Linked DNA regions of Schizosaccharomyces pombe. Changing the gene in region 2 together with the main gene of any one other region gives a genetic interaction. Each region holds a gene or a part of one and is shown on either strand. Other genes may lie near its edges.

Region 1 (3,598 bases), on a different chromosome or scaffold from region 2:
TGGAACGGAGAGTTTACCAAGGCCTTTGATGCTGGCTTCGACGCTAGCGGTCTTTTGGGCCCTCTTCGCTCCAAGCGTTATGCCGCTGTTGTCGAGAATGGCAAGGTTGTCAAGGTTTTCATTGAGAACGAGGTCACCGATGTTGATATTTCCTCCGCTGACAAGGTCCTTAGCTCTCTTTAAATCTGATGAACTGTTGTACTAATTGTTTTGATGGGAATGTTTTTTTCCTTTAATGAACGAAACTTAGAATCAAAAAGATAAGCTCCTTATTTAAGGGCGTTTGAAATGATGGAGATAAAGCACTCCATATTTGAGTTTTTTTTGTCATTGTGATGATATATGTTTAGATTTATGAAATTTTATACACAATTATCTTAACAACTCATTGTTTGAGTACTAGTACAATTCTTTATAAGAAAGTAGATATGCTTAAAAAATTAATGTCAAGTAAAACGTTGAATCGATTACAATAAGTTTTCGTAACACGATTGAAAATCGGTAGAAGTTGAAATGGATATTCTAAGTGGTGGTATCAAAATAATGACTAGAAAGATGTAAGCACACCTTCAATGTATCATAATCAATGTCAGATGAATTTGGGTAATGAAAAACGTTGGCCACAGTTGGGGGCGTCTTCCTCTAGATGCTCGTCTTCTACAACCGTTCTTTACCTCAACCTTTAAATTTTCAAAATCTCCTTTTTAATAACAGTTTTCATTTTTGGGTTCTTTTTACTCATTTGTATTTCATCTTCGATGAAAATAGCTAATGTCTTAACTTTATCGTTTGCTGCAATTATTGCTGCTTCTTCCCTGGCGGTTGTAGTTAGTCCTATCACAGACAATTCCAGGGAGACAGCTTCATCCTCCATTTCTCAAAGTCCTCCTAGTCAATGGTCAAAAAAACAGTTAATTGAGTATTGTAAAAAAAATTCACTTAAAACTAGCGGATCTCATGAAGAATTGGTTATCCGTGTGCAAAATCATCTTCGTACCGCCTCTAAAAAAGTTGATGCCAGACCGTAATGACAAAACAGCTTGTATAGATTTTAATATGTTTTCGATGCTTACATAATGAGTGAGTGTCATTATTGAGGAATGCCATGTCAGATTTGACACAACTCAGAACTTATTAACTTTTTATGATTGGAACTTTTGTTTTGCCCAAGGAATTTTTAATGGAAGAAGTTGTTTTATAAATGATATTGAATTTATATCCACTCTTTTTAGCGCATTTGCATCTCTACTTTAGGTTCTTCTTTGACTAGATTCTAGGATGCGTATTGGATATACTGGTCTTTGAATCATTGTCGAAAAAAAAATTCATGGTTGTACCCATGAGCAAACTGCTTTTGTGGTTATCCATGTGCTTCTTTTGTTCAGCATCTATCTTCTTAATCGCATGGAAGATTTGATTTAAACCAAAAGAAATATTGTTAAACTTTGACAGAAGCTTTAAATTTTGATTCCATACATTAAATGGATAAAACTCCTGAAGCTTAGCTACAAATCCCACTGGCTATATGTATGCATTTGTGTTAAAAAAGTTTGTATAGATTATTTAATCTACTCAGCATTCTTTCTCTAAATAGGAATTTGTTACTTAATGGAGAAAAAAATGTTTCGATTTACCTAGTGTATTTGTTTGTATACTCACGTTTAATTTCAAACATCCATTCTATCTTGTGTAATTTTTGGCATGGTGAAAAAGATAATCAGCCTTATAATCTTTACAAAAGTAAGAAATTCTGTAAATAAGCCTTAATGCCCTTGCTTTAAATTAAAATGGTTCTTTTTCATGATAATGTTTGCACTTTGTGAATATATTTTAGATAGTTCTGTGAGGTATAATTAAGATGTTTTAGAGACTTATACAATTTTGTCTTTATAAATTCTTAATTGATTTTACCATCCCAGTTTAACTATGCTTCGTCGGCATCTCTGCACATGTCGTGTTTTCTTACCGTATTGTCCTACCAAGAACCTCTTTTTTGCTTGGATCGAAATTAAAGGTTTAAAAGCAAAGTTATGGATGCTAGAGTATTTCAAAGCTATTCAGCTAGAGCTGAGGGGATGAAAAATCCCATTGCCAAGGAATTGTTGGCTTTGATGGAAGAAAAGCAAAGCAACTTGTCAGTCGCGGTCGATTTGACGAAGAAATCCGAAATCTTAGAATTGGTAGATAAAATTGGACCCTATGTCTGTGTTATCAAGACACATATTGACGTTGTCGAGGATTTCGACCAGGATATGGTAGAAAAACTGGTGGCCTTAGGTAAAAAGCATCGTTTTCTTATCTTTGAGGATCGCAAATTCGCAGACATTGGAAATACCGTCAAGCTACAATATGCATCTGGTGTGTACAAAATTGCTTCTTGGGCTCATATCACAAATTGCCATACAGTGCCAGGCGAGGGTATTATACAAGGCCTCAAAGAAGTTGGTTTACCTTTGGGACGTGGTCTCTTGCTTTTGGCTGAAATGTCTTCCAAAGGCTCTTTGGCTACTGGTTCCTACACAGAGAAAACCTTAGAATGGTTTGAGAAGCATACCGATTTTTGCTTTGGCTTTATAGCTGGTCGTCGATTTCCTAACCTTCAAAGCGACTACATAACTATGTCCCCTGGTATCGGCTTGGATGTTAAAGGAGACGGGCTGGGACAGCAATATCGTACTCCTGAAGAAGTGATTGTAAACTGCGGTAGCGATATCATCATTGTTGGTCGTGGAGTCTATGGAGCTGGTCGTAATCCTGTTGTCGAAGCCAAGAGATATAGAGAAGCTGGTTGGAAGGCATATCAGCAAAGACTTTCTCAGCATTAAAAAAAGACTAATGTAAAATTTTTTTGGTTGGTTATTGAAAAAGTCGATGCCTTGTTTGCGTTTGTTTTCCTAGGCGTTTTATGTCAGAAGGCATTTAGAATTAGTATACAAGTACTCTTTGGTAAAATTTTATGTAGCGACTAAAATATTAACTATTATAGATAAACACCTTGGGAATAAAAAGTAATTTGCTATAGTAATTTATTAAACATGCTCCTACAACATTACCACAATCTTTTCTCTTGGATTGACATTGAATAAGAAAAGAGTGAATTTTTTTAGACTTGTAATGATAACTATGTACAAAGCCAATGAAAGATGTATGTAGATGAATGTAAAATACCATGTAGACAAACAAGATAAAACTTGGTTATAAACATTGGTGTTGGAACAGAATAAATTAGATGTCAAAAAGTTTCGTCAATATCACAAGCTTTATTATTCAAAACTAGTATACTTTTTCTCGGAGTATAATACACAATATCGGTGCAAATAGGTTTTAAAATTGCTCCAATCACATGTTCTTAAGAAAAAAACGTCAAAAGAAATCTAAGTATTCCCAAAATAATTCCTCCTGACATGAGAAGAATAAAAAACACTAAGATGCATTGTCAGTATGAAACACAAGCCAAAGTTGCTAACAATAGGATCAATTCTTACTTACTGGCAATGTTACGAGGAATCTTGGTAGGAGGATGTTTGGCAACATAACGTTCTTTTGAATTTGTTTTTACACGACGAGTAATGTTCTTCTGAAACTGTGTGTTTGCACG
Region 2 (3,756 bases):
ACGTCACCTTCTTTTGTAAAATCATTTTGTAAAAAGAAACAACGAAAAAGGCATCAACAAACCGACGATGGAAAATTGCGAGACCAATGACTCGGCCTATGAACTTGAAATAGTTCAAATGCTCTGGATTAATGCCAGAATGAGGATTAATTTGAAGCGTATAATTATCAACCGAAGAGTATTCAAATAAACAATAAAAGGGGTTGAACATTTCATGTGATAACAAAAAGAAGTATTCACGGGATAATCCACCGTAATCCAAACCATCTTCACCATCAAACTTAATCATCAAACGTTTTTTCAAATCGGTTGCAGATTGTCTCATAATTTCCGCATACGAATCTTCAAAGATATGATTTCTACGCACTTTAATGTGGCACTGCCCTGGCAAAGGATGCAAAGCTGGTTGCGAAAGGAAATAAATCAACTTTCTACGGAAATCACGTTTGTATTGAGGAACGTTTTGATCTAACGACGAAGGTAAACGAGGATCATCCCAAGTGGTAGTCTTGGTATTGTGATCAACAAAATATACACGAGCAGTATTGGTAAGACGCATTTCCCAACCACTTGGCAAAGGACCAAGTTGAGAGACAGGTTGTTGCTGAATAGTAGCATTATTAGGACCGCCATAGGAACGAATGTACTGTTGACGGCGCGGATCCACCCAAGTAGTAGTTCGCGTATTATGATCCACAAAGTAGGGTCGACCCTCTGGTGTATACCTTTGCTCCCATCCCGGTGGAAGCTCTCCTGAACCAGCAGTAGTAGCGTTAGAGGTCAAAACACTAGCTTCTGTACGACGAGCTGCATTGCTAGAGGAAGGTTGAACACCTTCGGTAACATTCGCAGACGATGCACTACTATGCAATTCGGCTGCGGCTGCTCCGGCAACAGAACTTAGGTTGGGGCGAATCCACGTTGTGCTTCTTGTATTATGATCTACATAATAAGTTCGGCCAAGATTATCGGTACGTCTTTCCCATCCAGGAGGAAGGCGCCCATATTGATCTTCAAATGAACTAAATGTGCGAGGTTCTGAACTAGCAGGGGAAGCAGCAGGTGCGTTGTCGCGGGTAGGTGAACCAGCACGAGAGGAAGCAGGGTTACGAGACACACTGCTACTTTGTGAGCTTTGCGGGTCATTGGTAATGCTAGTACGTTGGGTACGTGCACCTGATGCTGCACTGGATGGAACCTGTAAGGTTGACTGCGCAGTCGTTGATAAGTTTATGATTATCTTGCCATGAACTACTGTATTCTCATTTGACTTTTTCAAATCGCGGGTCAACATTTCATCACCTCCAATGGCGAGATCGAGCACATCTCCAACACGAAGATTTATCACTCCTAGAAAGCCTTGGCCTTTTTTCTTAAATTTTTTCTGATCGAACACCTGAATCGCAATGGTGCTATTATCTGTAACATTACTAAAGAATTGTTAGAAACATTGTTTTTAATCAAAAAGTTAACATTAGCTAAATTATAAGGGATAAACTGGAAGAAACCCCAACTAAAATTGATATACATAAAAGTTACTTGGAAAGGTCAAAACCTGGGATATACACTTACACTTCAAAAGTCTCATTCCAATAAGGGTTTAACGTCTTTTTGATAGCAGTTGTGGTATGTGTTTGCTCACCATCCACTGTTAGTACCGCAAACGGGTCAGGAAAACGAAACACATCTCGTTTGTAAAGGCCATCAGCAGCAACAACTATTTTGGGTCAGCGTTTGCACAGGGCATTTGAATAATGTCATCACATACTTGTTACTCGAATTCGACGAGATCTAATCATAAAAGTTAGCAAATGTGTTTATAGCAGTTAAAGAACTACTTACTGAGCTGAGTTTGACATAGGGGGAAAAGATGGTAAAATTTCAAACCAGCGTTGCTTTTGGATAATAAAAAAAAGCCAATTTCCCAAAGAAAGTCAAGTATTTGTGCTTGCAAAAAAAACTTTCAATTAAGGCCGTTTTATCCTTTCTATTTGATACAAAAACGCTTTTTTCGGGAACGAAATAAATAAAAAAGAACTACAAAAGGAATCCTTAATCAAATTCGTGCTTTCAGCGCACAATTTTGAAATCCGTCGGATTTCGCGTGGTGTTGGCTGAAAGGAGAATTAATCGGTCTTGCAGATTAGATCCTTAACGCATTATAACCCATTTCCTTATATATATACAACGCGATTACCAAATTGTTCTTTATCTTTTTTGGCGTACAGAAAATACGTTTTACGTGTTAACTACGAAAGTAAATATCATGCAGCACAATGTATGATTTGCAAGCTATAAGCATTTAATAAATTGATTTAATACGAAAGAATGAGGAAAATGTATATCTAACCACTTTGCGTTCAAGTGATAGTTAGAACTGAGAAGAAAGAGAGGAAACGAAGAATTGTAAAAGGTACATACAAGAAGGCAAACGGAGTGCCGCGAATAAAAGTAATAAAGCCAGAACTTAGCAACAACTCTTAAACAGACAATGCTCAAAATTTTTATTTTTTAATTATCAGTAGTCGAGCATGCTGGCCAAAACAAAGTTAAGTAAACATCCAGCCACACGAGAGAAAGTAGAGCTAGATGGTCCTCAACATGACGAAAGAGTAAGAGCGATAAGTGCAGCGAAGGGAACGTGACGCTCCATTACATATACGAGACGGTGAAAAAGGAACGGAAGGAAAAGAAAAGGAAAAAGTACAGTATGTACATTTATTTCAAAGAAATGAGATAACGAGATTGGTTAGGCGACTGAAAGTAAAATTGAAATGGCTGGTCATAAAGACTATTTGCTATCCACTTTCAATAACAAGAAACCATGGGATGGAAAACAGGTAGCTGTTAAAAGTTTCATTTCGTTTTACACTATTCAGGAAAATTGGCTTTCCGTCGCATTTGACAAGAATTCGCCATTCTGTAAAGAAATGTACAAATGAAAAAACAAAGCGAAACGGCGAATGAAACAGAAATGATTGATAAGTAATGAAATGCAAATGAGAAAAGGATAAGAATAAACAAACCAAAGAGACTTTTTTAAGGGTTGTATCTCACTACAGTGAAACAATTGAAAGAAAAATTCAAAAGTCAGTCAAAAGATGAAGTCGATTTAAAAGCAATAAGTTAAGGAACCAGATGACATATTTAAGACTTTGAATGAAATGCAAGCAACGAAATTTTCTTAAAAAAAGAGGGCCATGAGAAAAAGCAAATAGTTAAGTTTAAAAAGAAAGTTTGAAAGAAGGATAAATAGTTTGCTAAATAACTCCTTTTTTAAAGAAAGTAAACCGACGGACCAATTGATTGTATGAGATGGTATAAGCGAAACCCATAATAATAACAAAGCTTTGCAATGAGAATGTGAATTTCTAATACCATAAAACTGTTCAAGCAAAAAGGAAATGAGTGAGTAACGGTAAAACAAAGAGATAGCAATAAGATTGAAAAGATCGATTACTTAAGATTTTCGTAAAAAACAAAGGTAAAAGCCGAATAAAGAAAAAGTTGTTATACGAAAAAGTGATGAGCAAGCTTTTCTTCGCAAGACTTTCTACCATCAATTGAAGGCAAGCGTAACTAACGCATTTATTTTAAGCGACGGATATATCCAGAAATTGTAAACAAATAATTTTTGCTTAAATCTATCGCAACAAGTGTTTAAGCGCATACTTTAAAACAGGTTCAACCTGCGAGCTTCCGATGACGACCGAGGAATAGAAACGTTGCTACTTGATGGGTTGTCAGCAAAAGGTG
Region 3 (3,756 bases), 2.2 Mb from region 2:
AGGCAGTGGTCAACTTGACTTTATATTCTTTACCGAAATTTGCCCGGTATGCAATGGTGTTGGAAAAATTCCCTACTAAATCAACTGCTGAGCAAAACTGATACTCCATTAAGTTCTTGTTCATATATGACATACTCTTGTAATTATTATTTATTTGAAATGAGCGACAAGACTCATTTCTCAATTTAAATATTTGAATAATTTTAAAACATTTTTTGAATGTTGCGATTTTATTCATTCTATAATTTACCAGTTTTACGACAATCCCTTTTAAGCATTCTTTCCCACCAACCCATATCATAGAGCCCCTTTTATATGCTTATTGCTCATATCGAAAATGTCTTCGTTTTTTGGGTTTGTTTATGAATTCGTGAATTTTTAATTTGGTCATAGTTTTGACCATTAAGTTTGTTTTCCAAAAATGCTCTTTCCTTATCTACTTCGTTTATGCTTTGGAAAATTTCTTCTAAATAATATCTACGGGACTTCCTAATTCTTAAAATTGCAAAATCCGTCCGTGTTCTAAGTATTTATTTATTTTACTATTGTCTAAGTATATCGGAATGATTCTCAGAGCTTTGCACTTCTTTTTCCCTAAATTTTCTATTAACTTTTATCTTTTTGTTATTGTATTAACTTACAAAAGTAATACCGGTTCATCATGCAAAATTCCATGTTTTAACAGTTGTCATAACCTCTATCTTTTCTGTATAAGAAAGGGTAACTGTAAACCACAGTGCTATTGTTGCCTAATTGTTTCTACGTTTTCTTGAGTATTAAATACTTATTAAGAAGAAGCAAAAAAAAAAAACTTGATGAAATTATTCTCCTTTAGAAACCCTTGCTCATTTTTTATCTAGTTCGTCCTGTTTATCTGCTATGCCACAAGTACAAATTTCGGGAAGCAATATGGAGTGCCTATTTTCATTATTGTTTTCCATTGATGTCATTAGAATATTATCGTTATTTGTACATCAGATTAATTGCTATCTTCTGTTCTCGCAATAAGTTAAAAAAGCTATCACTATTGTCTTGACGAAGTATTGCACCATAATAAATGACTATTAATGAATCAAGCAAACACACTACATATGGCAACTTTTAAGCTTAAAAAATTCGTTAAAGACCCATTTGGATAGGTAGCATTTTCGTACAATTGTATGTTCTCCAATTTTATTTTTTCATTTGCAAAAGCAAACCACTGTCAGTTTCTCTTTAGGGCTGGCACAAGGAAAGCATATGCTAACATATACATCGAGCAGATAGTGAGTTAGACTACTTCTTCATGTTTAGTGTTGCAAATGACTTAGTAATTCCTGATTTGAAAATCTGTAAACTAGAAACAATCTTAAATTGGATTGGAGGATATTTCAAACTGTCTTATCAAAATTAAAATGAAAGTCCTTCTTGTTTATATATATACCTTTTGTATAAAAAGGTCAGTTTCATTCATATTTTTAACATTAATGTTATTATAAATAGGTTTAAATAATCATCAAGTTAACAGTTGGTCGCATGATGTAGTCGGTTATCATGTCGATCTAATAAGTCGAATGTCGCCAGTTCGAACCTGGCTGTGACCATGTTTTTTAATTACGTTTTCTCTCTTGACAAAGGAGTTGGCAAAACGAAATTATAAGTACAATATTTATTGAAACAGTTGATATACATATTTTTATAGAAAATTAAAACTATAGAAATAAATTAAGTAACCGCTTGATCTATGGCTCTTAGTTGTCGTATGTTGCATTTGAACTCGAAAGAGTTCAAATATATTTACTTTTCTTTCAACTTTTCTGTAGACAAGAACATAAGTTGTTTAGGAATTTCAAATTTCGATCCATCTTTACGATTTACCAATTCAGTCCGCAAAGCTCGCGTGAGTCTTCTCTTACACCATTTTATCAGAAGGAAAGTCTTCAGTAAGTATTTTTTAGCAGTTAACGAAAACACATATACTGTTTCGCCTTGATATTACCCATTTATTGAATGTATGTATCATTTCTTCAGAAAACAATCTCGCTTAGATATAGCTTATTTGAATTAAGCTATTGATTTTTTACACTGTAACCATACGCGCTTTGCATAATTATCTAGACAATGCAAAGAATGCTGAACGCGTCCAGAAAGTAAAAAAAATGAATTCGAATGATAAAAAAAAAGTTGTTAGATCATGGATTGAGCAATTTGTTCATGATTTTGTTGAGCAATTAAGTAAGCCTACCAAAGATTCAGTAAATGTTGCTTTGAAAAGACGAAAGCACAATTCTTGGAATGGCAGCTTAGATTCAAAGGCCAATGAAAGACAAAAAGTTAAGGTTTTTTCATTCCCCAGGAATGAAACAACAATTGCTCAACTATTCAGGGTTTTAGATTGTGTTCATGAAGCTGTTATTTCGGATACAGTAATCACTAAGCGGTAATTGCTTTGTACTATACGCCGAAAATTCAGATTTAAGTTCTAATTACATTTGCAGAGATATTTATTACAGAGATGTAGATTTATTCAAGCGACAAACCGTAGTCGATGAGCTGCTTGGAGATATTTCAAACACCATTGGTTGCTCCAGGTCCGACCTTAACGTTGTAAGTCATTTCTTTGGAAATAGATTCATTAACGATTAATTTGATCTTAGGAAGCATCTGCTAAAGGATTGGTATTTGGGTCCATTCATATTGCTCTTGAAAACGGGACAGTAATTACTGCTACTAAAGTAGGTTCAAGTTTTAATAACCGTAAAAATTGTTTTTTCTAACTAAGAATTTTACTAAATACAGCCATTATTAATCTCTCACCATCGAATTTCATCAATCACTTCCACAGCAAAATGGGTCTTGGTCATCGAAAAGGAAGCGGTATTCCAAACGCTAACCGAAGAGGCTTTAGCGGATACAATAATTGTTACAGTAAGTGAGAATGCTTCCTTTTCAATGATATTGATGTTAGAGTGCTAGCTAACTAATTGCTTGTAACAGGCTAAAGGATTTCCAGATTTGATGACGAGAAAATTTTTAGTTAAATTAGCCAAAGCCCTCCCGGATGCTAAATTTTTTGGTATTTTTGATTGGGACCCCCATGGCTTATGCATTTATTCCTGTTTCAAGTACGGTTCTAATGCCTACAGTCATGAACCGCACAGTCAATTACGAAATTTACAGCTTTTAGGCCCTCTGTATGAGGACATTTTTAATAAAAACCAAGAATTCTCTTTAAAATTGAATAAAAGGGATATTAAAATGATTACAACATTATTACAATTTGAAGGCTTCCAAAAGGAGCCCGTTGTTCGTGAACAGCTACAGCGAATGCTGTTTATCCAGAAAAAAGCGGAAATACAAGCAATTCTAGAATTTCCTTCATGGATCAAAGGAAAATTAGCTGATGCCGACAAAAGTGGAAAGCACTCAGTACGTTAAGTTCTTGGATAGTTCAACCTACTTTCACTACACTCCCATAATAAAGCCTCCAACATGGATGACTTGCTAGATTTCAATTTTTACGATAAATCTACACCATCTAATCAAAATAATTACAGTAATAATAATAGTAGAACGCCATCCTACTCCCTTCCCGCCCCAGTAGCCCAGAAAAAGAATGCACAAATTCCATTGAAAGCATCAAAGCCCGAAGACCCTTTTGCTAATTTATTTCAAAAGAAAACGGATAATAAAATTTCCTTAAAAGAACTAGAAAGGCAGAAAGTTGGAACTCCGGACTCCAATTCCACCCCCAAATCTTCAAATTACGATCCCTTT

Evidence for each region.
Region 1: of pub1 (region 2) and ura4, a mutation in one rescues a mutant of the other (synthetic rescue), as found in Schizosaccharomyces pombe (2 studies listed by BioGRID).
Region 3: mutations in pub1 (region 2) and rec12 together harm fitness more than expected from each alone (negative genetic interaction), as found in Schizosaccharomyces pombe (2 studies listed by BioGRID).

Annotation. Positions count from the first base shown.
Region 1 is NC_003421.2:115,008-118,605, reverse strand, and holds ura4 (orotidine 5'-phosphate decarboxylase Ura4), read left to right. Parts: upstream 1-1,980; 5' UTR 1,981-2,030; coding exon 2,031-2,825; 3' UTR 2,826-3,017; downstream 3,018-3,598. Other genes in the region: thioredoxin-related chaperone Pmp20, read left to right, coding at 1-183; protein new25, read left to right, coding at 759-1,028; protein tam14, read right to left, coding at 3,350-3,423, 3,490-3,598.
Region 2 is NC_003424.3:3,961,426-3,965,181, reverse strand, and holds the start of pub1 (HECT-type ubiquitin-protein ligase E3 Pub1), read right to left. Parts: upstream 2,117-3,756; 5' UTR 1,860-2,116; coding exon 1,843-1,859; intron 1,792-1,842; coding exon 1,769-1,791; intron 1,718-1,768; coding exon 1,573-1,717; intron 1,431-1,572; coding exon 1-1,430. Other genes in the region: protein Mtl2, read right to left, coding at 3,674-3,756. UniProt on the Schizosaccharomyces pombe protein: E3 ubiquitin-protein ligase which accepts ubiquitin from an E2 ubiquitin-conjugating enzyme in the form of a thioester and then directly transfers the ubiquitin to targeted substrates. Regulates ubiquitination of cdc25.
Region 3 is NC_003424.3:1,770,787-1,774,542, forward strand, and holds rec12 (DNA topoisomerase type II (DSB-forming) Rec12/Spo11), read left to right. Parts: upstream 1-2,138; coding exon 2,139-2,419; exon of another isoform or gene 2,420-2,477; coding exon 2,478-2,586; exon of another isoform or gene 2,587-2,636; coding exon 2,637-2,714; exon of another isoform or gene 2,715-2,778; coding exon 2,779-2,907; exon of another isoform or gene 2,908-2,976; coding exon 2,977-3,417; downstream 3,418-3,756. Other genes in the region: protein hua1, read left to right, coding at 1-79; UBA/TPR/DNAJ domain protein Ucp7, read left to right, coding at 3,472-3,756. UniProt on the Schizosaccharomyces pombe protein: Required for formation of the double-strand breaks (DSBs) that initiate meiotic recombination. Required for crossover recombination and chiasmatic segregation of chromosomes during meiosis I.